Oryctolagus cuniculus: one gene and its partners. The protein of the gene in region 1 purifies or fractionates together with the protein of each later gene. This does not show direct contact. Links are inferred from orthologs where the notes say so. Each region holds a gene or a part of one and is shown in the gene's direction. Other genes may lie near its edges.

Region 1 (3,500 bases):
CTGTTTCTCCAGAGTCTGCATGTGGACAACCTTGAGATTTAGAGTTATGATGAACTCAGAATCCGTGGTAGTCCTTCTGCTCAAAATGAAGAAAGCCTTTCCTAGATACCCCCCACCTTGTTTCTTTTTTGAATTAGCTGATGACATAAACAACCATTTCCCAGAGGGGTTCACATGCAAGCTATTTTTTAGTATGTGGAATGCGTGGATAGCCTTCATTAACCTGATAGCTTTGTCACACGAGTTTACTCCTATATTTTAGTCTCTTTGTTTATCAAGTTCCTTCTTTTTAGATTGTTGTACTTGCTTCAGCAAGAAACCTCAAGCACAGAGCTGAAAACTGAGTGTGCAGTGGTATTAGGAAGCCTTGCTATGGGTACTGAAAACAATGTCAAGTCTCTACTGGACTGCCATATTATCCCTGCCTTACTGCAAGGTATGTCAGGAAACCATTGCTCAAGTAAAGAGTAGAAAAGTTTGTAGTGTTTGAATACTGGTTGAAAAGGAAGATGAGTCTTAAATCTAGTTTCATCGATAGGACTACTGTCCCCTGACCTGAAGTTCATTGAAGCTTGCCTCCGATGTCTGCGGACCATCTTCACCAGTCCTGTCACTCCAGAGGAGCTACTGTATACTGTGAGTTTTATGTTTGAATCATCATACACTGCACTAACAGCCTCCTCCTGATTTGCCTCACATCTTCAAATTCATTGTAACTATTTTAGAGAAAAGTCTCAAGAAATATAAATTTCAAAAAGTTCATGGAAAATGTATTGAAAGATAAGTTTACCTTGGTACACAAATGTTTGAAATCTATGCACGGAGGAGGTTTCAAAAAGATCTTGGAAAACTTATCTTAAAAAACTGAGTGAATTCCAAAAAATTTTTTGCTTCAAACCAAATTCATTTTAAAATTCCATTTTCCATTAACTTTTTAAAGTACTCTCATTTTTTTCTTGCTTATTTGCAAATATCAAATCTTCTAAGCTTTGTAAAGAAGTGAAGGTCTCAGATCTTGAGGAATTTATGAACTGCTTATTTCTTTATATGTACAAATCAGGGAAGTATATCTTTGAATAAGTAAGTGATAGGGAGGTTTGTGCTCACTTTAGGTTAAAGTTCAGCAGAGTAGGGTTTGTAGAGAAGCGAGAATTTCATTTGGGCCTTGAATAATGGATAAGATTTTGAGAAGTAGAAATGAATAAAGCATGGGGCCGGCACTGTGGTGTAGTGGGTAAAGCTGCCACCTGCAGTGCTGGCATCCCATATGGGCACCAGTTTGTCATGTATCTGCTTCCTTCCAGATTGAGCATTAGCCGAAAGTTGGAATTGGAAGCAGAGGAGCCAGGACTCAAACCAAGCATGCTAATACAGGATGCAGGTCCCCCAAGTGATGACTTAATTGCTATACCAAACACCTGCCTCAGCCAGTGTCTCCCCCCCCCCCCCCCGAAAGCCTCAGGGGAGTGAACCCTTTTAGCCTAGCAGTTAGATTGCCTGCAGAGGAATGCCTATGTTCAATTCACAGCTTCAGCTTGTGATTCCAGCCTCCCAGCAGTGCAGACCCTGGGAAGCAGCAGTGAAGGCTCAAGTAATTAAGTTCCTACCTCCCATTTGGAATTCCTGGATTAGTTCCTGGCTCCCAGCTTTGCCCTAGCCCAGTCCCCATTCATTGCAGGCACTTGGGGAGTAATCTAGCAGTTGGGGGCTCTGTCTTCCTCTATCTCTCCTCTTTTCTCTGTCTCAGATTTTTAAAAAATTTCTTTTAGACTTCAGGGATTATGAAGGAGTCTTTTAATCTGTTGATTACATAGAATTTTCTTAATGGAAATTATGTAAGGGCCAGCATGGCCACATAGCAGGTTAAACTGCCACTTCTAATACCAGCATCCCATATGGGTGTCAGTTTGAGTCCAGGCTGTTTCACTTCCAGTCTAGCTCTCTGCTAATGCACCTGGGAAAGCAGTGGAAGATGGCCCAAGTCTTAGGGGCCCTGCACCCACATGGGAAACCTGAAAAAAGCTTCTGGATCCTGCTTCCATCTGGCCCAGCCCTGGCCGTTGTAGCCATTTGGGGAATGAACCAGCAGATGGGAGATTCTCTCACTCTTTCTCTCTAACTCTGCCATTCAAATAAAATGAATAAATCTTTAAATAAATTTCTTTATTAAAAACTATGCTAAGGTTTTTGAAATGCTCTTATCTATAGTCTACTGTAAGACATACTCATTGTCTCAATATCTATATGTAGAAGATGTATGTTTGTGATTTTTGAGAAAGGCCCACACACAATTGCACAAACGTGATACCTTCTGGTTTCTGTCCTGGTGTCTGTCTGTCCCTCTCTCTCTCATGCTAGTTGTACTTCTCTGTGGTTACACAAAGACCCAGACTGTCAGATTGGATACACATGAATCAGAGATCTTATCCAGAATCAAGCTGTATAAATATTTCAAGAGTTAAGCAGTTGAGAGGCATAGGCAAAGCAAGCATGGAGAGGGGCCTGTCCTGTAGCTCTGTTGTCCACCTTTCCTACATCAGATGCATATCCTCTGACCATTAAAGATACATAAGGTCTCTAAGTGAAGTTTGTGGATCACCACACACTGTAAGTAATATCCACATTTAAAGCACATAGATTTTTTTATTATTATTATTATTTGAGAGAGACAGAGAGAAAAGTCTTCCTTCCGTTGGTTCACCCCCACAAATGGCTGCTATGGCCAGTGCTCTGCGCCAATCCGAAGCCAGGAGTCAGGTGCTTCCTCCTGGTCTTCCATGCGGGTGTAGGGCCCAAGCACTTGGGCCATCCTCCACTGCCTTCCCGGGCCACAGCAGAGAGCTGGACTGGAAGAGGAGCAACCGGGACAGAACCGGCGCCCCAGCCGGGACTAGAACCCAAGGTACCAGCGCCGCAGACGGAGGATTAGCCTAGTGAGCTGTGGCACCGGCCAAAAGCACAGATTTTTACCTCAGAGTTTTATGAGACATTCAGGGATCCATGAATCATGAATCCACAGATTGGATACTGCACTGGTTCACAAAACTGAGTAAGCACCAGAATTACTTGGACCCTCCAGAGTTTCTGATTCAGTGAGTCTGGGGAGGGACCTGAGAATTTGCATTTCTAACAAGTTTGCAGATAACTCAGGTAGTTCTGGTTAAAGGATCACTCTTTGGGAACTGTTTGGTCCAAAGCATTCTGTCGAGGGCTTTTTTAGGAAAGAGCAGTTTGGTTTTCTGTAGGTCATATTGTTGCGTTAACAGATTAAACCAATCCTCTGTCTTTACCCTGAAAGTTTCTCCCCAAACCCAGGATGGTAATAGGGGGGAAATTGACCCTAGACAGCTGTTTTTTGTTTGTTTGTTGTAAAAATTTATTTTTTATTTGAAAGGTAGAGTTACAGAGAGGCAGAGGCAGAGAGAGACAAGAGAGATCTTGCATCTGCTGGTTTACTCCCCAAGTGGCCACAATGGCCGGAGCTGGACCCATCCGAAGCC
Region 2 (4,122 bases), on another chromosome or scaffold:
CTCTGCCTCCCCTCTCTGTAACTCTTTAAAATAAATTTTTTAAATCTTAAAAAAAAAAGATAAAGGGCTTCAAAGGACTTCAAAGGAGAGGGTAAGGAAGGATTGTTCAACAGGAGGTGCTGGGATAACCACACAGAAGTACCCACCTCCTCCAAAATAAAATATAGACATTATTTACTGAGTGAAATTTTTAAAATCAAACTAGGAAACTGGCAAAAAAAATTTTTTTTCAACAGACACTGATTTTCGTGAACAACAGCTCCAAGAACCGACCCCATCCCAACAAAAACCACAGGACTGCCACACGCTGGGAACGTCTCGTGAGCAGCACTGGCAAAGTTCTCCAAGCAGCCAGGCCTGGAGCGGAAGTGGGGGCGCCCGGGGCGTGCGTGAAAGCCTGTGCGGTCCTGTCCAGCTGGGCAGGGCTCCGGGGCCCCTTAGCCCCGGGCCAGGCTCACTCCTCTCCGCCCTCGCGCTTCCGCGTGGGACAGGACCACCCAGGCTCGCGGCGCGCGCACCTTCCCTGCAATACAGCCTAAGGTTTCCTCTGTATAACCTACGACCTCCGCGTCTCCCCGTGGAGCATCCACTCTGCCCCAAGCACTTGGTGTGGGGGAAGCCATCCTCCCCGGCCCCCAAAAGTGGTGGAGGCAGGGCTAAGCGCCAGAAGTCAGGAACAACAAATAAACACACGAGATCATATCAAATGCTGTACAGAAAACAAAGGTGGCTTGTGCAAGTGCGAAGAAAATGAGATTGTGCAAGGGGAGGCGAACCTGGAATGAGGCTGGCCTAAAAAGGCAGCCGGAAGTCGGGAGAGTCCGGCTCCTCGAGGGCGGGGTGGGGGGGGTGCGCGCAGAGCCAACGGGCCTGGGTGGAGCTTAGACTAGGCCCAGGCCTGGGTTCGGTTCCCCCCTCCTCTGTCAGCCTTCCTTCCCCGGGGGCTGGTGTGTTCCCACCCAGGGCAGCCGCGGAATCTGATTCTGCAGATTAAGTTCAGGTTGAGGGGATCCGCAAGGCTGGGGCACCAAAAAAGGACTTTGCTTTTTTCTCCCCCTAAAAATTTATGTATTTATTTATCTGAAAGGCAGAGTTACAGAGAGACAGAGAGATCTTCCATCTGCTAGGTCACGCCGCAAAGGCCAGGACCAGGCCAGGCCGAAGCCAGGAGCCAGGAGCTTCTTCCAGGTCTCTTGAGGGTAGGAGCCCAAGGACTTGGGCCATCTTCCACCGCTTTCCCAGGCCATTAGCAAGGAGCTGGGTCGGAAGTGCAGCAGCCGGGACTCGAACCCGCGCCCATATGGGACGCGGCGTTGGGGGGATGGGGAGGATGTTTAACCCGCTACACCACAGCCGGACTCCAGGGCTTCTGTCTTCCATGACATTTCCCAAGGGCACAGACTAACCGGTGGGCCTCTAGGATGCACAGCACTGTTCGCAGCGAGCGGAGGAGGCACAGGAGCTGGGGTCTTCCGTGCGGGGCACCAGGCAGGGCGAGTCCCCGCGCCTCTGCCGGGCCCCCGGCCGGCCAGCGAATGGCTCTGTCCTACGCTGGGCCGCGAAGGGCTGGGCCGCGAAGGGCTGGGTGCGAGCGCCTGACCGCGGTCCCCCAGCTCCTGTGGGCGACCTCACTGCTGGTGCGCGGGGGGGGCGGTTTGCGGGACGGCCACCCCTCTGCGTATCCGCGAGTGGGAGCGCCCGGGGCCGCCCGGCCACCGCCGCCACTTCCGGTTCCGAAGACGGCGGCGCCGGAAGCCGGGGCCGTAGGCGGAGGTGAGCGCGGGCGGGCCTCTGGGCCAGGCGTTGCGGCCTGAGGGCGGGGCTCGCCGGCCGGCGGTGCGGAGGGCCGCGGCGCGCGGTAGCTCGGTTGGCTGCCTGGCCCAGGCTCAGCCTCCGGAAGCCCCCGCCCCAGTCTGCCGTTGGGTTTGTCCTCTTAGCAGTCGTCGGCCCGGACGGGGAGCGGGAGTCCCGCAGACCGGCCCCGGGCCGCGGACTCGGGCGTCCCTGCCTCGTGCGACCCGGCTGGGTGGCAGGTAACCAGGTGCGGGCCGGGGCCCGGCCGGGCTCGTGAGCAGGGTCTCTGGAAGGATGAGTTCGTTGGTTAATGCAGGTGAAATCCCGGCGAGGCTACTGTCCGGGGGACCCGGTGGCCTCTTCCTTCCTTCCTTCCTTCCTTCCTTCCGGTTTTGGTTAAGGATAAAATAAAAATGTGCATCGTCGAAGGGGGGTGTGCAATGAAGGAAAGCACGGGGCCGTGGGATAGGGATCGGGTGACTGGAGCAGGGGTCAGCGGCAGAGACTGGTCGAGCAGAGCTGGGACCGAAGAGGGAGTGTGTTGCAGGCTGAGCGGGAGCCAGTCTTGGTTTTAGTGAGAACCATATGTCGGGCCGGGAGGGGTTAGAGGTGGGGGCTACGAAATTGCCAGAATCAGTTCCCTCGGGATTCACAGATTCTCTTCCCCATTCCAGGAACCCTCCTTGTTCAGGCTGCTGAAGTGTGGGTGCGGGGTCCCCCCATACGTGCCTTGGTGGGAATTTTATTTCAGTCCTGTCTCTGCTCACCTTCCACAGATGTGAGCGCAGGCCCTCTAAGCCAAAGGTTGGGAAGTCCTGTGCCATTTAATTAGCAAACGCGTTCTGAGTACCGTGGACCAGCCCTGGTTTAGGCGCCAAAGGTAGGGACTCCAGCCCTTGGGTAGCTCATAGTCCGACAGCAGAGACCAGCATGGGGACAGTCAGTACATGGGCTCCCGGGATACGTTTATGAAGCAAAAACAGGAGACACAGATTTCATTGACTTCATGAAAAACTGGTGATTAAACTCCTGCTTAAGTTCTCCATGTGAAGAAGTGCAGAAGGCACTCTAGAAATAGGCACACGCGCAAAGGAAGTGCATGGGTATTTGCAAAGGACTTATCTGAAACCATGGCACTGTTGAGCCAAGGGGTGACAAGATCTGGTGTGTGTTTTGGAGCAGTCGTCCTGTTGGGTGATCTCTATATGTGTAAGGCCTTGGGGAGAAAGACTTAGGGTGAATGGACATGAAATGACAATCGCCAGCACTTACCTTTATCACGAAGGTTGTCAAAGACAAGCACACAGTTCCTCATCCTTGTGCCTGGTGAAGATGGCCGACTGTGACGGGCAGAGCGGCTCGCTCTGGACACACTGAGTTAACCTGGGCTCTGGAAAACCCACAAGCAGTTTTTTTTTCTTTTTAAAGATTTATGTATTCAAAAGAGGGAGAGAGAGAGATTTTCCATCCACGAGTTCACTCCCCAAATGGCTGCAATGGCTGAGGCTAGGTCCAGCTTGAAGCCAGGAGCCCAGAACTCTATCTGGGTCTCCCACATGGGTGGCAGGGGCCTGAGCACTTGGGCCATCTTCTGCTGCCTTCCCAGACACCATAGCAGGGAGTTGGATTGGAAGTTCCGCAGCTGGGACTCGAACCAGTGCCCATGTGGGATGTTGGTGTTGCAGACAGCAGCTTAACCACAATGCCGCCCCCCTCAGGTAGTTGTTTGCCCAGCTCATTTATCTTAAAATTTTAATTACATTAATCATAATTAGTTCTTAATCATTTAATTGGTCCATGCAGGGCCTTTTCTCTTTTATATTTAATTACATATTCCTTTATTATTCCCACTTCTCCCTTCCCTCCCCACCATAAGAAAGTACTCTGCTGTGTCTGGGCTATAGGCAGGCTTCTATATCCTGGGGTTCTACATCCATGGATTCAACCAACTGTGGGTCAGAGATATTTGAGGAAAAATGTCTGTATTGGGCATGTATAGATTTTAAAAAGTCATTCCCTAAACAATATAATATAACAGCTATTGACATAGCGTTTGCATTGTATTTGAAATTGTAAGTGATCTAGAGATGATTCACCTCTCCTACCCCATCTGCCTCTCTTCAGTCTTGGCTGCCACAGTCAGACAAAGTGCAAAGACACCTTTTTCGTGCATCTGTAGTGAAAACCTTAGCAGCAGACGGTAACTGCTCCAAGCCTATCAAATAGATACATAGGAGTTGACTTAAAATGTAAGGGAGGATGTGTGTGGGTTAAATGCAGTGCTACACCATTTTATATAAGGGACTTGAACATTCACACATTTTGGTA
Region 3 (4,172 bases), on another chromosome or scaffold:
CCGTTGGAAGCAGTTAAAATAGCCCATGGTTCTCAGAACACAGAAGAGAGGTCACCCCCTGCAGAGCCGAGGGAATGGAGACTTATTATTTAATGGGTACACAGTTTCTGTTGGGGGTGATGAAAAAGTCCTGGAACTGGAGAGTAGCGATGGCTTCGAGCACGGTGAATCTATTTAATGCTTCCGAGTTACATACTGCAATGCTAAATTTTACGTTATATACATTTAGCAGTGAAAAAAAAAAATAGCCAGGCCTTTTGAGGGATGGGACTGTAGGAGCAGACAATATTCAACTTCACCGATGGCTGCTGGCCCAGGTGCACGCGTTGTGTGTAGGCAGTTACGTAAGCGGACACAGCCCCCAGCACAGGGGCTGACAAAGTACAAGTGGATTCACAGGAGCAAGGGGACAGCTGGAAACTTCAGGAAAGCTGACATGGATATGGGCGATGCCTGGAACCCTGTCTCCTGCCCTCTTTGTCTCTCCAGCTTCACTGTGCACAGGGATCACCTGGGGAGCTTGTTAAGCTGCACCTCCTAATTTCATAGGTTTGAGGGGAAGCTCACGTCTGCATTTCTAACAAGTTCCCAGGTGACGTTCATGCCGTAGCTCACACAGACTGGGAGGGCTGTGCGCGTTTAGCCTTGTTTAGTTCCTCACGATAGCCTCGTGTCCCCCAAAGTGAGAGCCCCCAGGAGGGGCTTAATTATTATTATTTATTGATACCGAGGCAGTGTAAGAGGTGCGTGCAGGCGTTTGGAGGATGGGAGAATCTTTGCCGTGAACTCTAGCATATTCGAGCCGTCCCAGCTTCTAGGGGTCGCTCACCTTGTGATCTCAAATTCTGAATAAGGGTGTTAGTTCTAAGTTGTTTCTGGCCTTACCACCTTGCTGCCTCCACTCTGATCCTTGAAATCGTGGCCTTGAACACGTGAAAGGTAATGGCCCTGATTTGCAAACTGCGGGGAAGCCTTGCTCTCCTCTGCAATCCTGCAAATTCTCTTCACCTGAGGAGGGCAGGGGCTTTCCAGATCTGGGCGTCTGTCTGAATAATTGCCACTTTGGCCTCCCCCAAATCAAATAAACAGCCTTTAAAGCCGACTGTGTGCGAAGGCGGTTCATTCCCTAAAACACACGCGGGTGTCATAACGTTGCCATTATTTACTATGAACGTCTAGGACGACGGTAACACATTGGCGGTTGAGCGACAAAGTGTGTGGGGAAGGTTGGGGGGAGGGGACAGAGGACGGAGAGGGCAGGAGAAAGAGGAACTACATATCCCATAAGTCCCCGGGAAAGCCCACGGCGCGGCGGCGCCCCACCCCTCTCGCCGTCCGGGCCCGCCCCTCGGATGACGTCACAGAGGTGACGTCACGGCGTCCAGAGCGAGGCTGGGGTAGAGAGGCCGACCGAGCAGGAGTCGTCCGCCTGTCGTGCAGGCTGCCAGGAGTCGGCGAGGGGTGCGCGGGCGAGTGGCGATCGGGCGAGCGAGCTAGAGCGGGCCGGAGGGAGCGTGGCGCGGCGGGGCGCCGGGGCGGCCCCACAGCCGGAGAGAGCGGCGGAGCCGGGCGCCGCGGGGTCCCCACCCCCACTCGGCCGAACCGGGCCGGTGTTCCCCCGTGCGGGGGGCGGCGGCGGCGGCTGACGGGACCCGACGGGACCCGACGGGATCGGGGGTGTTGCCACCTCCGCCGAGGAGCCGGCGCGGCCGCGGGCTCCTCAGAGCCGGGGCCGGGCCCTTGACAGACGGGGCCGAGGACCGGAGAGAGGCAGCGGCGGCGCAGGCGACGGGGAGGCGGCGGCGACACCATGTCATCCCCCAGTCCCGGCAAGAGGCGGATGGACACGGACGTGGTCAAGCTGTATCCTTCGAGGCGGGGGATCGTGGCTGTGGTGGGGGGGCCGGCGTGGGGACCCCTGAGGCTCGGCCGAGGGCCCCGGGGCACCCCAGGCCACTGCCCCCTCCTCCCGCGGCGCCCACGGCGGCTCCCGGCGCCTCCCAGGAAGCGAGGGCCTGTTCAGCTCCCCTTTATCTGCAGCACCCCACAATATGCGTAGCTCCTGCTCTTCCTGCAACCCCCCCCCCCGCCCCTCCAGCGCCCGTGACTTTTCTTTGGGGCTCCCAATACGGCCTCTTTTTTTTTTTTTTTTTTTCTTCCCCCAGGACCAGCCGCCTCACTCTGTCTACCGCTGGGCCCACCGTCAGGGTCTCTCTTTTCTGTTTGTTCGCTCTGTATTTCGGGACTCCAGGCAGACATTTCCCGAGAGGGAGGCCTTTCTCCCTGTAGATGCCCCCATTCCCTGCTCTCACAATGCCTCTTGAACTGGGGTAACTCCAGCGACCTTCTTTATCCCTAATTCCTTTCTATATTAGGAAGAGAGTAGTCGGCGCAGGGCCCCCTTTGCTAATAAAGAGCTCGGTGTGTTTTTTAAATGAGGGACTCCTGGTGCGGTGGCTGGTCCTGGCAGGACCCTCCTGACAAAGCCTATCCCACCCGTGCTCGCGTGCGGTGAGGACCCCCGGGCCCTGCGGCCAGCCTCCCTCCATGTTGTGGCTGTGACAGCTGGGGGCAGGGAGAGCAGGCCTCCCTAGGAGACAGCCCCCCGAGAACCACCCACCCAAGCAGAACTCCCCGCGTGAGGCTAAGGTTCCTGGGGAGTACTCGCCCTGCCCCCGCCCCAACTTTATTCTCCCTGGAGGTTGCAGTGGGGGGGAGCCCCCCACCCCCCCCAGCAGGCAAGGGTTCTGGTTGGAGTCCAGGCTGATTATTTCATGACCAGCTAGAGAAATTCGCGAAAGTTCCTGTGACAAATCAAGGAATCTGGCTTTGGAGGGGATAAGTTAGAGATTGAGGGGGGCCCTCATGTGGGGAACAACTAAGCCCTGGGGAGGGGGGGGTTAGGGGGTAGGGTGTGAAAGGCTGTTTAAGAAAAAAAAGTGTCTCCTGTTTGTCTTTGGCCCTCACCCCATCCCCCCCATTGCCCCCTGTTGCAGGGTTTTGTTTATATAACTCAGGTTGCCGGGCCAGATTCTTCAGGTGAATTCTTCCTGGCTTTTATTTGTTGCCATTTCCGATCGACTGTTTTACTTCTTTGTAGGGATAGATGATGGTCAAACACTCAGTGATGGGATCTGCAGAAGTTTTTAAAAGTAGTTTTTGCATATGGTTTGGAGGTGGGGGATGGGAGGGAAGTTGCCTGGGCAAGAGATTATTACTGTTTTTTTTTTTTTTTTTAATAATCTTTTTGTTAAGATGTTTTTCTCCTCACCCAGGGAAGACTTGGCTAGGAATTAGGAACAGTAGGTGAACTTCTGAGTTTAGGGTTTGGAGTTTTAAGATTTTGGGGGGTGGGCATAGGGATTAGACACAAGCAAGTGATAGAGTATAATGTGCAAATAACACATGGCTAGGCACAAGTGAAATCAACTGTGAGGTGTTTATGGCTGGGATTGTTTTGTCAATATGTGAATGATACCAGTAATATTGGAGTTTTATAAGGTTGTAACTATGACTGTGGGTGTATTTTAGACAAAGCAGTTTTGGGTTTTATTTTTGTTTAGAAACTAGGAAATGACATGGTGGTAGAAATGAGTTATTTTTACCTTGAATTGAGAGTTACTGTCACACCTAATGCAAATTTCTACTTAATGTGTGATTGGGATGGGGGGCAGAGAATTCCAGCTGTTTGTGATCGATGTCAGATTATGTACGTACATAAATTTTTAACAGATTGAGGAAAAGAGTGAGGCCTAACTTGACCTGATGCCTTTTCCATACGGTGCCTTTTGTTCATTGAGTAGTTGTGGCATCTAGAATGATTACGGCATTTAGGAGTGGGGCGGGGAGGGGGGACAGAGGGAGAAGAAAACAGACAAAGAACAGCAGGGTGTCTTTTTTTTTCTTTTCCCCTAAGTGGCTTATTTCATAGCTTATTTTTAGTAGAAGATGAAGAAAGGCAAAGATGCTCTGGCCTTCTGTTCTTTCCCCACCTTCCTCCTTTCTGACAAAAGAAAGCAGGGGCGGCTTTAAAATCGCGGGTCTCGTAGATGGCAGTAGATGGCAGATAGCGGGGAGGCCGGAGGTCAGCTTTGTGTGTGTGATTTTCTGATCTCGCATAGTTTGGAAGTTAAAATTTTCGAGTGTGTGTGTGTGTGTGTGGTAGGGGTGAG
Region 4 (4,072 bases), on another chromosome or scaffold:
GTGGGGGCCCGGCCGACGAGGACGCCCTGCAGAAGCCGAGAATGGCCCCTGCTGGTGGCTGGCAACGGGCCCTCACACAACCACGTGGGACTGAGTTTTGCCAGCACCGTGATGACTCCCCCCCATCCTCGACTGCTCTTGAGACTTGGAGAAAAGAAACCACCCAAGTTCACCACACCTCACCAAGAGCTGCACTGTCTCATGCCACTGTATCTGTGGCGGCTTCCTAGGAAGGCTCACTCTCGCAGGTAACTCCCCAGGCCATGCAGAGGCGGCGGCTTGGCACACAGGGAGACCCTCCCCGGGGCCGCTGCCGGGCTGGGGCGGAGGAACGACCCTTCGCCCTCCCTGGATGCTGACTGCGCACCTGGGCGGAAAGGACGGGCGACCCACGCACACCCCGCGCCACCGGGCCGCCTGCAGCGCCTGGTCCGGCAGAGCCACACATAGACGATGCGGGCAGAGATCCCCACATTGCCCCCCTGCAAGGCTGGACTGGTGGCCCTGCCTCCCAGCCTCTCGCCCCTGGCAGGTTGAGGCACAGGGACCCAGATGTCACGAGGTTTTCTGAGAAAACAGCCTGCAAAGCAGAGCCCGGCACACGGGAAAGGGGGCTCCGCGGGGTGGCCTCTGCAGACCCCTCAATGCCCGGGGTCCCCGCCGGCTCCTCAGCCGGACACGCGCCGCCGTGGCCGCCCAGCTCGACCCCGCCCCGAGAGGCCGAGGCTTTCCGGAGGACACGCCGCGGGCGGCCCCGGCCGCGCCGTTCCAGCCGCCCCTCACCACTGGGGCCGCGCCCCATCTGAGTCCGGGAGCCGCGACCCGGGCCTCCCCGCGGGGCCGCGGGGCGGTCCAGGCCCGGGTGGCCGGCACCTTCGGGCTCCGGGGGGCTGGGCGCGGAGGCCTCCTCAGGCTGGTTCCTCAGAGGCTCGCAGCAGGTCGCCCGGCCGGGGGAGACGACGGCGAAGCGGACCCACGTGGACGCCACACAGCGGGGACCGCCCGGGCGAGGCGTAGCTGCCCGCACAAAGCTTCCCGCGAAACTGACGTCGGAGCCGGGCCCGCCGCGCAGGCGCCGCCCCCGGCCGCACCCCTCCCCCGCGCTCGCCCCGCTCCCCAGCGCGCCGGCGCACTCTCCTCTCCCCCATTGGTCGCTGCGCGGCGGCGCGCGCCAGCCGGCGCACGGCGCGCCTCGCGATTGGCTGGGCAGCGGCGGGCCGGGGGGTGTGTCCCGCGCCGCGCCCCGCCCCTCGGCTCGGCTCGCGGTGGTGCGCGCGGCGGCGACGGCGGCGGCGGCGGCGCGTGGCAGGTCCGGCGGGCGCGAGGTGGCGGCGACGGCGGCGGCGGCCCGAGCCCGGCCCAGCCTCGTCCCGCCCGGAGCCCGCCCGGCCCCGGCCCCGACCCCGGCCCGCCCGGGCGCGCCGTGGCCTCGCCTCGGCCCGGTGTCTCCCGAGGGAGCGGCGCTGCCGGCCGAGAGCGCAGGCCCGGCCATGACCGACTTCAAATTGGGCATCGTGCGGCTCGGCCGGGTGGCCGGGAAGGTGAGCGGCGCGGAGCCCGCGGCTGGGCCCGGCCCGCCCGCCCTGGCCTCTGCGCGGGGCCCGGGGCGGGGGCGGTTGTGCGGGCTGCGGCCAGGGCGGGGGCGCCGGCCCCGGAGGGGCGCCGGCGGGGCGGGGGCGCTGCGCGGGCCCGGCTGCGGGGCCTCGCTCCGGTGCAGGCCGCCTCTTGAAGTCGGTGGGGCGCGCCCCTTGCCGCCTTCGCCGGGGCCCGGTCTAGGACCAGGGCCGGAGATGCGCGCCCGTGCCCGGGCCGCGTTCGTCTGGCGCTCTCCCATGTGGGGCTTCCGAACTGGGCCCAGCCCGGCGCCAGGGCTGCACCTGCGGCCGCGCGGTTTGAACACGGCGCCCCTTCCAGGGCAGCGCCACCTCAGTCCTTCTTGCTAGGGGGTCTGATGGGGGCCTCTGAGCTTGCACTGAGCGTGGGCTTCCCCAGCGCAGGACAAGGAAGCCGGAACCCCGGTGTTGGTGAACTCGAGGGCTCCCTCGACTTCTCTCCCCTAGCCCGGCCTCCGCCCTCCACAGGCTGCAGGCGAGGCCTCTGGCACCAGTGGGCCTGGAGGCTTGGCTGTTTCCGCCTTGCAGCAGCCTGGGCCTTACCCTGATGGAAGCCTGGTCCCTATATCCAGGGACTGAGAGGCAGTCTGCATTCAAGTGAAGGTAAAACAGCTCCGATCCTAGGAGAGATCTCGCAGGAGTGAGGCTGGTGTTGTTGGGGGTGTCCCGGGCTCTCCCCTGGAGCTCTGGCCCTCTCCAGGCTGCATTAACGTCCCCAAATCTTTCATCCGGAACATTCCAGGCAGACTGAACTGGAAAAGGGTGATTGGGCGAGCACCTGTGCACCCCTTGCCCAGCTTAACAGACAAATTGAAACCTGGTGTGTACTCTGCCCCTGCTCCAGGGCAGCCCACTAGGTCTGGCCAGCTTTATCGGGGGCGGTCTTGTGTGGGAGGCCTTTGAAGCCAGGTGCCTCCTCCTGTGGCTTTGCTGTGTCTGCCGCACACGCAGTGCTGCAGAGCCAGGCCCCCTGGCTGTAATGAGGCGCAGACCCCAAGTGTAACGCTCTGTAATGTGGTTGATTTGCAGACCAAGTACACGCTGATAGATGAGCAAGACATCCCACTGGTGGAGAGCTACTCCTTCGAGGTAAGGGCGCAGATGGGGTGTTCCCGGGAGGGCCGAGCGGAGTGCAGGTGCTTGGGTCCAAGAGGCCCGGCACGTGGATGTCTGGTGCCAGCCGGTGGAGTCTCCGTGGCCTTTCTGACGCTGGCCTTGGCCGACCTGCACCCTCCCTGGTCGCTGGCTGCTGTTAAATCAACTTTTGTCCTGTTGCTGACAGGTGTCCCTAGTGCAGCTTACCCAGTCCTCTCCACGGTCCCAGGTGCTCTGTAAGGAACTTGCCTCCGACCTCTGCGAGTGGTCCCTGGTGCTCTGGCCACAGGGCCCCACAGTTCTGCAGGAGCTCCTTCTCCAGGGTGTCCCTTTCTCACGGGATCGTGGGGGGTTTTTATTGGTGGGAAATTGTCTCTGCGCCCATAGAACTTCACAAATAATTGCTTATGAGTGAGGGTTTTTTTTAAGGTTATTTAAAATTTATTTGAAAGGCAGCATTAGAAAGGGAGAGACAGAGACAGATCCTCCATCCTCTGGGCCAGGCTGAAGCCAGGAGCTTCTTGTGGGTCTCCCACGTGGGTGCAGGGACCCAAGCACTTGGGCCATCTTCTGCTACTTCCCCAGGCCATTAGCAGGGAGCTGGATCAGAAGTAGACCAGCCAGGACTAGAATCTGCGCTTCTATGGGATACTGGCCCCACAGGTGGTGGTTGAACTTGCCACGCACAGTGCCGGCCGCTAGTGTGAGCGTTTCTTGTGTGAGTGAAAGGTGGAGTGGTTGAGGGGGCATAGCTGGCCTCTGCATCCACAGACACCCAGGTCCCAGAAACGGGCTGGGCCCTGTCTTCCGGCTTTTTTGTTTCATTCGATTATTCTAAGAGGGATCTGGAAATTGGAGGATTTTACCAATCCTTTCCTTGTTCTTTTCAGGCCCGCATGGAAGTAGATGCAGACGGAAATGGTGCTAAGATATTCGCATACGCCTTTGACAAGAACCGAGGCAGGGGATCGGGCAGGCTCCTTCACGAGCTGCTGTGGTGGGTGTTCTCGCGCTGTGCTGGTCTCCCCCTCGGCCCTGTGTGACCCTCACCTTCCCCGAGTCAGTGGCCCGTTGTCTGTGCCTGGTGCCTCCTGTGGTACAGGAATGTGGACGACTGCCTTCCGCTTTGCCCAGCACTCCGTCCACAGACAAAGCGCCTCACGCCCCAGGACAGGCTCTGCGGGGGGGGGGGGGGGGGGTCCTGCGCTCTGCCCCGGCTCTCCTGGGGCGCCTCGGCGGGGTGTGAAGGGGCAGCTCACTGGGGAAGTTAACTGCCGCCTCGGTGTGCATGATGGGATGCTGGTGTCTGGGACCTCTCGCTGAGGAACTGTTTGTAGGCTGTCTGGGTCTGGTTCGGGGTATCG
Region 5 (4,007 bases), on another chromosome or scaffold:
AAACCAAACAAGGCTGTGGAAACCCACCTACCCAACTGAGCCCGATATCTGTGCTCACCTACCTGAAGCGCAGAAGCCCCTCCCGGCCATTGGTGGCCTCTTCCTCGGGGAACAGCAGCAGAGGGGTGGGAGGAAGCCTCGTGGAAGCACAGAATCTCTTGAGGGACTCCACCAGCTCCCCCTGCCCGTCCATCTCCATGAAGCCCCGAGACCAGCACACAAAGCTGGGGGGACTGTTGAGTAGAGGCTGGGGACCGCGGAGGAGACAAAGCAAGAAGAAACCCATGGAGGGAAATGAGGGAAACTGATGTGAGGGTAAAGGAGCGGGATTAGGGGAAAGGTTCTGTATCGCCCAAGGGAAACCCGACGGGGATAGGCGAGCCTTGAGCTGGGTCCCCAGGAACTGCCCTGCGGGGCTTTGGCCCCCACTCACGGTGCTACAGGTGGTGAGCAGGTTGACGATGTTGTGGTCGAAAGGTGTCACGTGATTGGAAATGAGGACCCTGACGCGGTGATCCCGGAGTCCAGAGTCCTCCTGGCGGGCCACGAGTCCCAGAACCGCACACATGGTCCGCACCACGAACCTGGGGACACAGGCGGTAGTGACGGTGCGGCCTCGGGCCGGGCCCACTCCTGACACTCTCCGAGCCCCCGAATTGGAACCTGCGAAGGACGCTGTCTGGCAGCGCGCAGCTGACCAGGAAGACGTGGATCCCGAGAAAGAGGCGCAGGACGAGGAGGCAGAACCCGACGGGCGCGTAAAGCAGCAGCGCGAGGAGCAGGAAGCCGTCACCTGGGAGCCTGCGGGAGAAAGGCGACGTGATCGGGTGCCGAAGGTCGAGACGGCCCGGGAGCTGGCTTCTTCCCGCGAAAGCTCTTACCGGTGCGAATCAAAGAGCCGCTCCGGCCCCGGTGCCGGGGGAGGCTCCATAGCAGCTGCTTTAGGGGTGTCCGGCCGTCGCCGCCGCCATCTTCGCGCCCGGCCGCAGGGGCTCCTGGGAAGGCGGAGTCTTTGGGCATCCGCCCAGGGTGCTGGAACCCGAAGTCCGGAGGCGCCCCGGAAGGGCTAGCGGTCCCGGCATGCCCCGCGGCCCCTTGGGCCGCCTTGGAACTCGCGTCCCTCGGGAACCACAATTCCCGGCATTCGCGGGGCGGGGCGGGGCGGGGCGGCGTCGACTTTCCGGGATCCTGCGTCCCGGCGTGCACTTCTGGAGGACTTCAGATACCGGCGTGCGCCGCGTCTTGCTGTCCGCCCGCTTACGTCCTGGGCACCGCCTCTGAGAAGGGCGGGCGAGGAGGCAGCCGAGGCGGAGCAGATGGCTGCGCTGAGGGCGGGGCGGGGTGCAGGCTGGAGCCTCTGGGGATTGCGGGCTTTGGGGGGCATTCGATGGGGGAAGGGACCCCTGTTGACCTCTGACCTGCGGGCTCTGCTGACGTCAGGAACTCCTGACCTCCGGGCCCGGATGACCTATGGGACCCCCAGTCTCCGGGCCCGGTTGGCTGTGGGGGTCCCTGAACCCCGGGCGTTTCTGACGTCTGGGTCCCCGGATCCCCGGCCACGACTGACTGCAGGGGCCCCAGATTCCAGGCCGCGGGAGGCCTCGGGGACCCCTGGAACCCGTCCACGCGTGTGGCTGGCGGTGGCGCTGGGCGCTGGGGGGGCGGTGCTGTTGTTGTTGTGGGGCGGGGGTCGGGGTCCCCCGGCTGTCCTCGCCTCAGTCCCTGCTCCGCCGCCAACCTCTCCGCGGAGCCAGTACAACTTCATCGCAGACGTGGTTGAGAAGACGGCACCTGCTGTGGTCTATATCGAGATCCTGGACCGGTAAAGACAGGGTTGACTGGAAGGCACTGAAGCCACAGGCCTAGAGGCGGGCAAGCGGTGGTGGTGGGGTGGTCAGAGCCTCCTTATACCCAGGCCCCCTTACCCCTGCGGCAATCCCAGGCACCCTTTCTCGGGCCGCGAAGTTCCTATCTCAAACGGCTCAGGATTCGTGGTGGCGGCCGACGGGCTCATCGTTACCAATGCCCATGTGGTGGCTGATCGGCGCCGAGTCCGCGTGAGGCTGCCTAGCGGCGACACATATGAGGCCATGGTCACCGCTGTGGATCCCGTGGCAGACATCGCCACGCTGAGGATACAGACCAAGGTGGGGGTCGGGGGGGGGGCGGGCAGGCCAGGTTTGTGTGGAGTTGTCTTGTAGCTCCCGTCACCAGATGACAGGTCTCCTGTACCCGTTCTCCCTTAGGAGCCTCTCCCCACACTGCCTCTGGGACGCTCGGCTGATGTGCGGCAAGGGGAGTTTGTTGTTGCCATGGGAAGTCCCTTTGCGCTGCAGAACACGATCACATCTGGCATTGTCAGCTCTGCTCAGCGCCCAGCCAGAGACCTGGGACTCCCCCAAACCAATGTGGAATACATTCAGACTGATGCAGCTATTGATGTGCGTCCTGATGCAAGGGCATTGCATTGGCAGACTAGGTCCGGGCAAGGGTGAGCTGGGTGGTACAGGTGCCAACTGAGGGGTGGTAGAGGTTGGGCTGCAGAAATGTGGCCACACTCATGTATGGGTTGGGGAAGCAGAGAAGTTTGGAGAGAGTGCCTACCTCCTGTGTGTGTCCCCAGACTTAGAATTCCCAGACCTTTCCCATGTTTTCTCCTTGTGCTGCAGTTTGGAAACTCTGGAGGTCCCCTGGTTAACCTGGTGAGTGGGACATTCTTCTTCCAAGGCCCCAGGTCAGTGTGAGGAGGGGAGGGGCTTCAGTAATTCTAGGATGTTTGCTTATGTTTCTGAGCAGGCTCTTGTTGCCTGTCTCCCAATACAGATTCCCCCAACACTCCATGCTTCTACTCGTGTTCCGGGGGCCCCCATCCCCTACTATCTGTTTGGGCTAGGGAACAGGGGGCTGTGTCCCTGCAGGATGGGGAAGTGATTGGAGTGAACACCATGAAGGTCACAGCTGGAATCTCCTTTGCCATCCCTTCTGATCGCCTTCGGGAGTTTTTGCATCGAGGAGAAAAGAAAAGTGAGGCTGGCTCAAGGGGTGGGGGTTCCCTTTAAGAGCTGGGTGGGACATTCTTTGGGACTTGCTGGAGGGGGAGTCTGTTGTGAGGGGGAAGGAAGGATGTAGCTGGATGGGGCTCATTCATCCCTGTATCACAGATTCCTGGTTTGGAATCAGTGGGTCCCAGCGCCGCTACATTGGAGTGATGATGCTGACTCTGACTCCGAGGTATGAGCATTTGGGGTCATGACATGTGGGACCACCAGTAGAATCAGTGGTGAGCAACTGGCACTTCCGTTGAGCTTGGTTTGCTTTCTTTCCTGACTTTATCTAAGATGAGCTGTCTCACATTCGGGGCTCTCCCAAGAGCTGGCCCCTCTCATCATCTTGACCTTCTCACCTCACTCCATTTTGTACACCTGTCATAAGATTGATTTCATCCTGTTCCTGTGTTCATTTAAAGCTGTCAGTTAGCCTGGCCTGTTTTCCGTGTCTCTAAATCATCCTTTCAGACCTGGGTCCCATTACTTCCTATGTGAATACTCAGTTCCAGCCAACCTGGTTTCCTGCTTCGTGTTTTTATTTATGCTGATCTTGTTTTACATAGTTAATAGACCCATCTTTCTAGGCTCAGCTTAAGTTGTACTCGCTCCTTAAAGCTTCCCAGGATTCTAGAGTGACATTAGTGCTATTGATTTAACACTGGTGTCATTTGGAATTAGTTATCTTTCATGGACATGTCCCACTTGTGAAACACAAGGAGGCAGAAAGTGATCAGTCGCCTTTGTACTGACCGGTACATGTCCTGTCCATACACGTGTCAGCGTGATGGGAGGCTTGAGATGAACTTAGGAGAGGGCGGGTGCGGCAGTGTGGCTACCAGGGTGATCCGTGTCCTTGCAGCATCCTTGCTGAGCTACAGCTGCGAGAGCCAAGCTTTCCTGACGTGCAGCATGGCGTGCTCATCCATAAAGTCATCCTGGGCTCCCCTGCACACCGGTAAG
Region 6 (3,987 bases), on another chromosome or scaffold:
CGAACCTGCCCCCCAAGGAAGGCATCCCAGGAGAGACCTCTCTGCCTACTGCCAAGTGGGCCCCCAGTCCGCTAACACTGGGTACTAAAAGCTTGGGAGGAACTCCAAACACCCCACACCCAGGAAACCCTTGGTCCGGGAGAAGGCGGTGGAGGGTGGGGGGAGGAGAAAGGCGGGAGGCGAAGTCTGAATGCAGCCGGTGCGCTCAGCTCTTGCCTGAGCCGCCCGCAGGGTGTAGCAGGTGTATTTCAGCTCTTTACGGTCAAGCCCACTGGACCTGTCCGGTGTATTCTCTCGGTGAACTGATGTAAGCTTGCTGAGCCCAGGCTGAAAGACGGGTGCTCTCCCTGATCTGTCTGGAGAGGCGCCCATCCGTCCTGGCCCCCGGGGAACATTCTACCCCCCTCTCTCGCCGGAACCCGCTCCCGCGCCAACAACCTCCCTTAGGCTCACCTCCCGCCCGGCAACCGCGGCAGCTAAGCCCAGACATCAACTCGCAGAGCCCGGACGCGCAGGTGCAGCGCCGGCGCCTCTGCTGCAGCTGCCAGACCCCGGGAGAGCCCGCGACCCCGCGTCCGTTTCGTGAGAAGCCGCTGCGGGGAGTGGCGGGGGTGGGGTGGGGGCGCCCCGAAAGCTTTCCCACGCCGTCTAGGAAGGGCTGGCCTGGGCCTCCCACGCTTCTCCACTGTGTGGGGCTCTATTTCGGTGGGCTGGACACCCAGCGCTCACCAGCTCCGCCGGGGGCCGAGGCCAGCCTGGAGCCAGCGGTGCCCCGAGATCCGTGGGAGGCCCCCGAAATGCTGCCGGCGACGGGGCAGGCGCCGGGCTGGTCTCCCTGCGACTCACCTGGCAGCCCCCGCAGGACAGGACTCGGGCCGTCACCCTCTAGCTCCTTTCAGCGCTGTTTCCTTAAGGGATTTACGACTTGGCCGGAGCGGCCCTTTTCCTCGTGCGTCTTCCACAACTGTAATTGGCCTCCTTTCCTGAGAAGTCTTGGCTTTTTTCCTCACCTCCGCTCCTAAAAGACGTCTTCTGCGCCCCATCCCTGGCAAGGCACCCCCTAGCCCCTCCAACCTCCCGCCAGAAGAGCCCCGCAAGCGCTCACAGCCCAGACGCGGCCACCAAGCCGCGGGCGGCGGGGGACGCCCGAGGACACGACGGCGCGGGCCTCGGCCCCTTTAAGAGCAGGCCACGCCCCCTCCCGGCGCGGCGGGCGGTCGGTGGCGGCCGCTCGGGTGCTGACAAGATGGCGGCCGGCGGGGCTGTAGCTGCGGCGCCCGAGTGCCGGCTTCTGCCCTACGCGTTGCACAAGTGGAGCTCCTTCTCCTCCACCTACCTCCCCGAGTAAGTGCCCGGCCGGGCTCGAGCTGGCCTGCGCTTTGGCGTCGGCACGGGCGGGCCGGCAGTGCCTGGAGGGCCGCTGAGCCGAGAGGCCCAGTTGGGGCCTGGTGGGGGGACGCGCGGCCTCGGGAGGCCCAGGGCAGCGGGGCCCGGAGCCCTGCACGGCCCGGCTTGGGAAGGGCGAGGCTGCCGCGAGCGAGCCCCGGGAGCAGCCCGGCGCGCGCAGGAGCACCGGAGCCGGTGCGGCGGCGCCGGGCGCCCGGGCCGGGGAGTCGCGGTTCGGGGGGCCGGCGGGGCGCGGCGGGGCGCGGCGGGGCCCAGGGCTTTGGGGCCGGCGCCGGGGGCGGCCCCGTCTCGCTGAGACGGGAGAGGAGGGCCTGGAGAGAGCTCGGCTCCGCCGGGGGCCGAGAAGTCGGCGAGTCGCGTCCGCGGGAGGAACCCTGGGCCGGGCCGGGGCATCTCTGCTGGCCGAAGTTCTCCGGGAATGGGGAGGAGGCAGGAGGGACGGCGCCCAAGAATTCCCTTGCATCCCGGCTCCTGAGAGGGCGGGCTTGTGGAGCACAGACCCGGACCCCATCCCAGAAACTCAGCTAGAACGGAAACGCTGCCTTGATCAACTTCAGCGGCAACTTGGTTCGCATCCCGGTCAGGTGTTGTCAAAAACCTTGCCTTGCCTTGCTACCGCCGGTTTCTTTGTAGCGAGTTCCTTCTGAGACGCCGACAGCACTTCCTTAGGTGTTTCTGAGCTCTCTCTCTCTCTCTCTCTCTCTCTCTCACTCCTGGGTTGCGTGCTGTAGGAGAAACAAAGGTACTGGTTGTTCCCAGGGTCCCTCATCTCAGGCTCAAAAAACCCTGGAGTGAGATATTTTTTTCTCGTCCCAAGCAAAGTGACTAGATCTGCAAAGCATACTCAGATACGTTTCGCACTGGAATTTTGAAACTAACTTCTGCAATTTCCCCAGTTTGATTGCTCTGGTTGCTTGAGTCAAGAATCCCCAGGTGGAGCTGTAACTAGAAGACTCTTAGCTCTTGATTGCCGGAGTGTGGTCCTGTTGACGTCAGGCCGGCAGTGGGACCACCTGAAGGGTGCCAAGTGACCTGGGGTCTCTCCTAGTGCCTTCTGGATGGCTGCTGCAGGGTCATGTCTCTGGTGGATGCTGGCACCCACCTGGAATCTGAGAGTGAGCCAGGTGGACATTCTTCTCACCTTAGGCCTTAGGCACGTGCCCTCGGATTTTCTGGGCCGACTTAGTCTTGGATCTGCAGATACTCAGCGTATTTCTATACGAAGACAGCTGGGACTTGGGGGTGGTATCGCTTCCTTTAGTAACCGCAGAGACATTTTTCTGATCTTCAGTTAGGCAGCTCCCAGGATGTCACTCCATCATCTCCTGGTGTAGGTGTGAGATGTGGGTATCACAGATCCCACCTGCGTTATTTGTTGTGTGGTGTGCATTCTAAGAACGGGTACATTTTAAGCAGGGTGTGGTTTGGTGGGATGGGGACTTCAATGTGACTGCCTTGTTATCTTGGCCGCTGATTAGAAAATGGGTAGAACACCCGTCATGGAGTTAGAAGGGAATTGTTTGACATTGGAGAAACCTATTGTTATAATTTCAACAAGTACTTTTGTAAAATAATGTTTTAAAACGTACAAGGGCACTTAAAGTTCATGGAAAACAATTTAAAACATTTATTTTGGTGCAGAAAATCTCAATTCATGATAAGAGGAATCTTCAAAAATTTAATAAAAAAAACCTGTTATGAGAAAACTGTTCAACTTTTTTTGTACCAAAAATAAACTTCTATACATTAAGAGTTTTATGAGAGAGAGGGATGAAAGAAGGGAGATAGATATCCTTGGATCTGCTGCTCTACCCCTCAAGTGCCCTGGATTGCCTGGTGGGTCTGGCCAAACCCAGGAGCCAGGAACTCAGTCCAGATCTCCCGTGTGGTGGCAGAGGCACAACTCCTGAGCTGTCACCTGCTGCTTCCCAGGATCCTCAGTCGCAGGAAGCGGGAATCTGGAGCAGAGAGCAGACTCAAGCCCAGGTCCACTGATGCAGGACATGCACAGCCTAACGGGCTTCTTAGCCACAAGGCCAAATGCCCACCCTGTATCTTTTAATTCCATTTGCCATGCAAATTTGACTTTGATTTACTGTATTTTACTTAATCCTTTGGCATTCCATTCATAGATGCAGTGTGCTGTTGGTTTCAAAGCGCTGAACTTGTACGATAAGGACAATCATTTTTTTCCTTTGAAGAGCTGTGTAGTTTTAGTTGAGAATTTGGTGTCTCCTAGGTTGGTATGTGCCATACCCCATCTATGAATGGTATGCTGCAGGATTAAGTAAAATACAGTAAGTGGAAGTCAGAGTTACATGGAAAATTTTTGGTTCTGAACTTCCATTAGCAAGTTACAGATTTGTGTCAGAGGAAGTGTTGGAAAGGGATTGACTATCCTTCACTTTGCCCTAAAATCTGCTCCCAGAGAATTGCTTTATCTTTACTAGCCAAGGAAGTCATGATAAGGTACTTCCTAAATAAGTTTCATTTTAGGTAAAGCCATTTGCCTACAAAGTAGCAAGTATTTATTGACATAGGTGGCAATAATGAAACAATAACCAAAATTGTAAACACTTA
Region 7 (4,177 bases), on another chromosome or scaffold:
TTGCAGACTGATTTTCCTCTGGATAAAACAGGTAAATTGGCATTTCCTGTTTTAGGGGACTCTTGTGGGCTTTTCATGGGAGCAGACCCTGAAGGATGAGAATTCAGGTGAGGTCAGGATTTTTTGCATTGGCCATAATTAGAAGAGGCAAACTATATTATTTAAAATTTCCTGAATGCCTACTATGTGCAAGAGCAGTGGTGACAGCTTCCCATATTCTTGCTAAATGTTCCCAACAATGTATCATCCTCCTGTTTGAGATACAGAAACCAGTGCCTGTAACTTTAAGGGCCTTCTATCAGGTTCAGAAGCTAGGAAGGTATTTAGGTGAAATTTTTGTGTGAATCCATATAGGCGGCTTTCCTGATCAATGGGACTTGTGTCATATTTTACAGTGCCTGGAGGCGGCACCCCTGAATCTGGAGCTACTTGAAGAGGCTGTGAGATATGCCTAGGCTGCTTAGAGTCAGCCTAAATTCAACAAATATCTTTGTCATAAATCCAACTAACTCATGGGTGAAGAGATAGTTTGTCCCTGTAGCTAAGGGTTCCAGTTCAGAAGTCTGACGTAGCTGGGTTCACATCTTAACTCCACTACTTATCCGCACATGTAGGTAAAAGACATCATCTCTCCACACTGCTACTTTTTCATTTGTAAAGTGGTGATACTACTTCTTCATTGAGTCGTTGTGAGGGTTAAATGTGGTATACAACGCACTCGGCATATATAACACGCTCAGTGCAAGCTGGCAGTTACTACTACTGGCGAAATGCGTCCGCCCTTTTGCCAGCAGGTAACGTCCTCAGTGGGCTAAGTCAGCCGGGCTTTCTGCACCGCTGTGTCCGGGCCAGAGCCTCACACAGAAGGACACAGGCCAGCAGGAGGTTCAGAGGTCTGTTCCAGATGCCATTTCCTTCTCTGGAGGTACTCAAACCCTCCTCTCTGTCCTCAGCCCGCCCGGCGCCTACCTCGACACAGACGAGAAGCTGCAGCACCGCGACTGTGAGGAGTCCATTACCCGACTCGGGCAGGCAGGCAGGCGAGCGGGCAGCCAGCACCCGCCGCCTGGTTAGCTGTGGTAGTGTACAGCCCGTTGTCATGACGACCAGGCCCCAGCGGCCCCGCGGCGGGGGCGGGGCCAAGATTGTGCCACGCCTCTAGACCCTGCGCCCGCCCGCTGGGAGAAGGCCAGGTGGCAAAGATGGACTCGGACTGGGGAGCCGGGTGCCCCGAGAGCCGGTCCCTGCAGTGCGTTGGACCCCAACTACCAGAACTGAATCAGGGGCATGAACCGAGGCCTCGGGGGAAGGAGGGGCGCTGAGAGACCCGGTTCCGATTTGCTGGCGGGAACTGTAGTTTTTGATGCCCCAGCATCTCAGTAGGGCAGGCTCATGGCTGAGATGGTTTGTACCACAACTCCCATAGTTCTCTACCGGCCCGCCTCCGGAGAGCTGTGCATTGTGGGATTTGAAGTCCAAAGTGTGGCAAGGAGGGGCAGTGTCCAAAGAGAGGTGCCGGACTCGGACTCGGTTTCCCTGCGGCCCCGGCAGGCTGGCGGGCCATTGGCTGAGCGGGGCGGATCTAGTCCTGCTCCTCCCCGCCCCCAGTGACACAATAGCAGCTCCCTCCAAGATGGCGGCGGCGACGGCAGACCCGGGAGCTGGGAACCCGCAGCCTGGAGACTCCTCCGGTGGGGGCGCTGGGGGCGGGCTTCCGTCCCCGGGGGAGCAGGAGCTGAGCCGACGCTTGCAGCGTCTGTACCCCGCGGTCAACCAGCACGAGACGCCGCTGCCGCGCTCCTGGAGCCCCAAGGACAAGTACAACTACATCGGCCTCTCCCAAGGCAACCTCCGCGTCCACTACAAAGGTATCGTCCGTGTGACCACGGGGGGACCAGGCCAGAGCATCTGCGGTACGGCTGTGGCTGTGCTGCCTACACCTGCCCCATCACGGCCTTTTCCCTGCGTGGGTGCTCTGGGTTAGGCCTTAGCCCCTGTGGAATGTCCAGTGTGCTGGGGCTGACCAGGCCGAGGGTTGACTGCCGGCTCTGCTCTGCCCGAGACCCCCAGCGTCAAGAGAACTGCAACAGGTGTCCAAACCCAGTGCTGGCCTGGACCTTCCACTTCAGGGCCTCCTTGCTTGTCTTGGGCTGCCTCCCGCAGCGCCAGCTCGGTCCTTTATCAATGCTTAGTTTCTGGAGTGTGCTGGTCACATCTCCACCATTAGCCGGAGCCCCATGGGCTTGCCTGCCTGCCAGTCATCCAGGACTAGGCCAGGGGTTCTCTGCTAAAGTGGAGGAGGTGTTTTCCAGGTCTGCCCTCTTCTTCCCCTGGTCTCTCCGGTGGGCTGCCTGCATTCTAGAGACTGCTGGTAGCACTTGGCTGTCCCTCACGTGCACCCGTATTGCGTCTACCCTTGTTGGGGGGGAGGACAGCGGCTCAGGAGGAGGTGTGTGTGTTGACTCAGTTGTCTAGGTATTCCTTGGAGACTGTAAGAGTGTCCTCTGGCTTCCCATCTGCATTTCCTTCTCCTGAAATTTCTTCCTTGCCCTCTCCTATAGGTCATGGCAAAAATCACAAAGACGCAGCCTCGGTGCGCGCCACGCACCCCATCCCTGCAGCCTGTGGCATTTATTACTTTGAGGTGAAGATTGTCAGCAAAGGAAGAGATGGGTAAGCCCCTCGGTAGCACCCTCTTTCCCCAACACTGAAACTGTTCCAGGTGGTCAGAGTTCGAAGTTTCCTGGCTGACACCGTGACCCTGCGAGCTGCTGAGCCCATGGGTCTGGGCTTTCTGTGTTCCTTGACCATGGCTGGTCTGAGCATTAGGCCCTGAGAGCAAGTAGGGGTGTTAATGGTAAAGCAAGGGGCTTTTTTTTTTTTTTTTTTTTTTTTTTTTAGTGATGATGTCATTACATGCCTCACAGATCAGAAAAACAAGTAACAAGTACGGTTCAGCACCCGCAGTGGGGTTTTCCCACTGGTGTGTAGTGTGTGACTTCCCTCCGTTCACACTCCTTTTTATGGCATTGAGTCATGTAGAGGCCCTGGTAGGCTTCAGAGGAGTAGGAGAGTCTTTCCAGCTTCCATCAGAGTGGTGGTGGCCACCAGCCTGTCATCTCAGGGTAAACAGCACACACATGGTCAGAATCAGGTGACCGCGCTGCCCATAAACTTGTTTTTCAGTCCAGGAACTTGCACACCAGTTGGACCAGCTTTAAGAAGGTCCTCATTAAGGTCAGCATCAGGGAGACACCCTCTTTTAGGCAGACCTAGGAAATCAGAGGGGAGAGTCTTCATTTTTCTTTCTCATTCTCCTTTTTCTCCCCGTTTCCCCTTTTTCCAGTGATTGTGACAAAGCAGGTGTTTAAGTTATGAAATAACATGATTGCAGCTACTGTGGAAAACACTTTCCTTACCAGTGACCAGCCCCACCCGGCCAGTGACCTTTGCCCCTGCCCTGAGCGGATTTCTGAGCATTTGGAATGATTCTTCTTTCCTGGGGACTGTCCCTCCGTGGACTCAGCCTGTCCTGCTTCCTCAGCGACGCTGTGGTGCTCTTCTCTGTCTTAGGCAGAGCCTGACACTTCTGTCTCCTTGTCTGTGTTGTGGGGCGCTCGGCTAGCGTGTAAGCTGCCTTAAACTGAAAGTTCTGTGATTCTGAAATTCCTATCATGGGAAGTTATTGCATCCTTCACTTTTATCCCCATCTATTGCATTTACACATAGGAAATTTATACTTATTGGAGGGATTTTTTATTTTTTAAGATTTACCCATTTATTTGGAAGGCAGAGTGACAGAGAGTGAGTAAGAGTGTTCACTCCCCAAATACCCACAACAGCCAAGGTTAGACCAGGCTGAAGCCAGGAGCCAGGAACTCCATCTGGGTCCCCCACTTGGGCGGCAGGAACCCAAGTACTTGGGCCCTCACCACTTGGGCGGCAGGAACCCAAGTACTTGGGCCCTCACCCATTGCTTCCCAGGCGCTTTAGCAGGAAGCTGGATAGGAAACACAGAATAGTCAGCCAGGACTCAAACCAGCACTGTATGGAATGTGGCTCAACCTGCCGTATCACAACGCCCATCCCTGAAGGCTTTTTAAAACTGTTTATATATTTTCATTTTATTTAAGAGGCAGACAAAGAGAGCTCTCCTCTCAACTAGTTCATTCCCCCA

The links.
Region 2: the proteins of ARMC8 (region 1) and RMND5B purify together in Homo sapiens (affinity purification with mass spectrometry; 4 studies listed by BioGRID and IntAct, with this or other methods). This does not show direct contact. The link is inferred for Oryctolagus cuniculus from reciprocal best matches to the Homo sapiens genes ARMC8 and RMND5B.
Region 3: the proteins of ARMC8 (region 1) and UBE2H purify together in Homo sapiens (affinity purification with mass spectrometry; 3 studies listed by BioGRID and IntAct, with this or other methods). This does not show direct contact. The link is inferred for Oryctolagus cuniculus from reciprocal best matches to the Homo sapiens genes ARMC8 and UBE2H.
Region 4: the proteins of ARMC8 (region 1) and ZMYND19 purify together in Homo sapiens (affinity purification with mass spectrometry; 4 studies listed by BioGRID and IntAct, with this or other methods). This does not show direct contact. The link is inferred for Oryctolagus cuniculus from reciprocal best matches to the Homo sapiens genes ARMC8 and ZMYND19.
Region 5: the proteins of ARMC8 (region 1) and HTRA2 purify together in Homo sapiens (affinity purification with mass spectrometry; 5 studies listed by BioGRID and IntAct, with this or other methods). This does not show direct contact. The link is inferred for Oryctolagus cuniculus from reciprocal best matches to the Homo sapiens genes ARMC8 and HTRA2.
Region 6: the proteins of ARMC8 (region 1) and MKLN1 purify together in Homo sapiens (affinity purification with mass spectrometry; 4 studies listed by BioGRID and IntAct, with this or other methods). This does not show direct contact. The link is inferred for Oryctolagus cuniculus from reciprocal best matches to the Homo sapiens genes ARMC8 and MKLN1.
Region 7: the proteins of ARMC8 (region 1) and RANBP10 purify together in Homo sapiens (affinity purification with mass spectrometry; 5 studies listed by BioGRID and IntAct, with this or other methods). This does not show direct contact. The link is inferred for Oryctolagus cuniculus from reciprocal best matches to the Homo sapiens genes ARMC8 and RANBP10.

Annotation. Positions count from the first base shown.
Region 1 is NC_091435.1:143,486,184-143,489,683, reverse strand, and holds part of ARMC8 (armadillo repeat-containing protein 8), read left to right. Parts: intron 1-293; coding exon 294-436; intron 437-538; coding exon 539-636; intron 637-3,500. UniProt on the Homo sapiens protein: Component of the CTLH E3 ubiquitin-protein ligase complex that selectively accepts ubiquitin from UBE2H and mediates ubiquitination and subsequent proteasomal degradation of the transcription factor HBP1.
Region 2 is NC_091437.1:63,737,203-63,741,324, forward strand, and holds the start of RMND5B (E3 ubiquitin-protein transferase RMND5B), read left to right. Parts: upstream 1-1,322; 5' UTR 1,323-1,421; coding exon 1,422-1,773; intron 1,774-1,781; exon of another isoform or gene 1,782-2,041; intron 2,042-2,570; exon of another isoform or gene 2,571-2,674; intron 2,675-4,122. UniProt on the Homo sapiens protein: Core component of the CTLH E3 ubiquitin-protein ligase complex that selectively accepts ubiquitin from UBE2H and mediates ubiquitination and subsequent proteasomal degradation of the transcription factor HBP1.
Region 3 is NC_091434.1:166,117,153-166,121,324, reverse strand, and holds the start of UBE2H (ubiquitin-conjugating enzyme E2 H), read left to right. Parts: upstream 1-1,372; 5' UTR 1,373-1,810; coding exon 1,811-1,863; intron 1,864-4,172. UniProt on the Homo sapiens protein: Accepts ubiquitin from the E1 complex and catalyzes its covalent attachment to other proteins. E2 ubiquitin conjugating enzyme that transfers ubiquitin to MAEA, a core component of the CTLH E3 ubiquitin-protein ligase complex.
Region 4 is NC_091432.1:237,722,169-237,726,240, reverse strand, and holds the start of ZMYND19 (zinc finger MYND domain-containing protein 19), read left to right. Parts: upstream 1-1,272; 5' UTR 1,273-1,490; coding exon 1,491-1,541; intron 1,542-1,868; exon of another isoform or gene 1,869-2,216; intron 2,217-2,642; coding exon 2,643-2,702; intron 2,703-3,598; coding exon 3,599-3,705; intron 3,706-4,072. UniProt on the Homo sapiens protein: May be involved as a regulatory molecule in GPR24/MCH-R1 signaling.
Region 5 is NC_091433.1:128,427,726-128,431,732, reverse strand, and holds the start of HTRA2 (serine protease HTRA2, mitochondrial), read left to right. Parts: upstream 1-1,207; 5' UTR 1,208-1,316; coding exon 1,317-1,822; intron 1,823-1,942; coding exon 1,943-2,147; intron 2,148-2,246; coding exon 2,247-2,479; intron 2,480-2,623; coding exon 2,624-2,702; exon of another isoform or gene 2,703-2,734; intron 2,735-2,796; exon of another isoform or gene 2,797-2,918; coding exon 2,919-3,024; intron 3,025-3,161; coding exon 3,162-3,231; intron 3,232-3,906; coding exon 3,907-4,002; intron 4,003-4,007. Other genes in the region: lipid droplet-regulating VLDL assembly factor AUP1, read right to left, coding at 63-584, 664-801, 882-931.
Region 6 is NC_091434.1:167,346,877-167,350,863, forward strand, and holds the start of MKLN1 (muskelin), read left to right. Parts: upstream 1-1,187; 5' UTR 1,188-1,246; coding exon 1,247-1,344; intron 1,345-3,987. UniProt on the Homo sapiens protein: Component of the CTLH E3 ubiquitin-protein ligase complex that selectively accepts ubiquitin from UBE2H and mediates ubiquitination and subsequent proteasomal degradation of the transcription factor HBP1.
Region 7 is NC_091449.1:51,057,176-51,061,352, reverse strand, and holds the start of RANBP10 (ran-binding protein 10), read left to right. Parts: upstream 1-1,377; 5' UTR 1,378-1,633; coding exon 1,634-1,868; intron 1,869-2,561; coding exon 2,562-2,673; intron 2,674-4,177. Other genes in the region: TSNAXIP1 (translin-associated factor X-interacting protein 1), read right to left, coding at 970-1,016. UniProt on the Homo sapiens protein: May act as an adapter protein to couple membrane receptors to intracellular signaling pathways.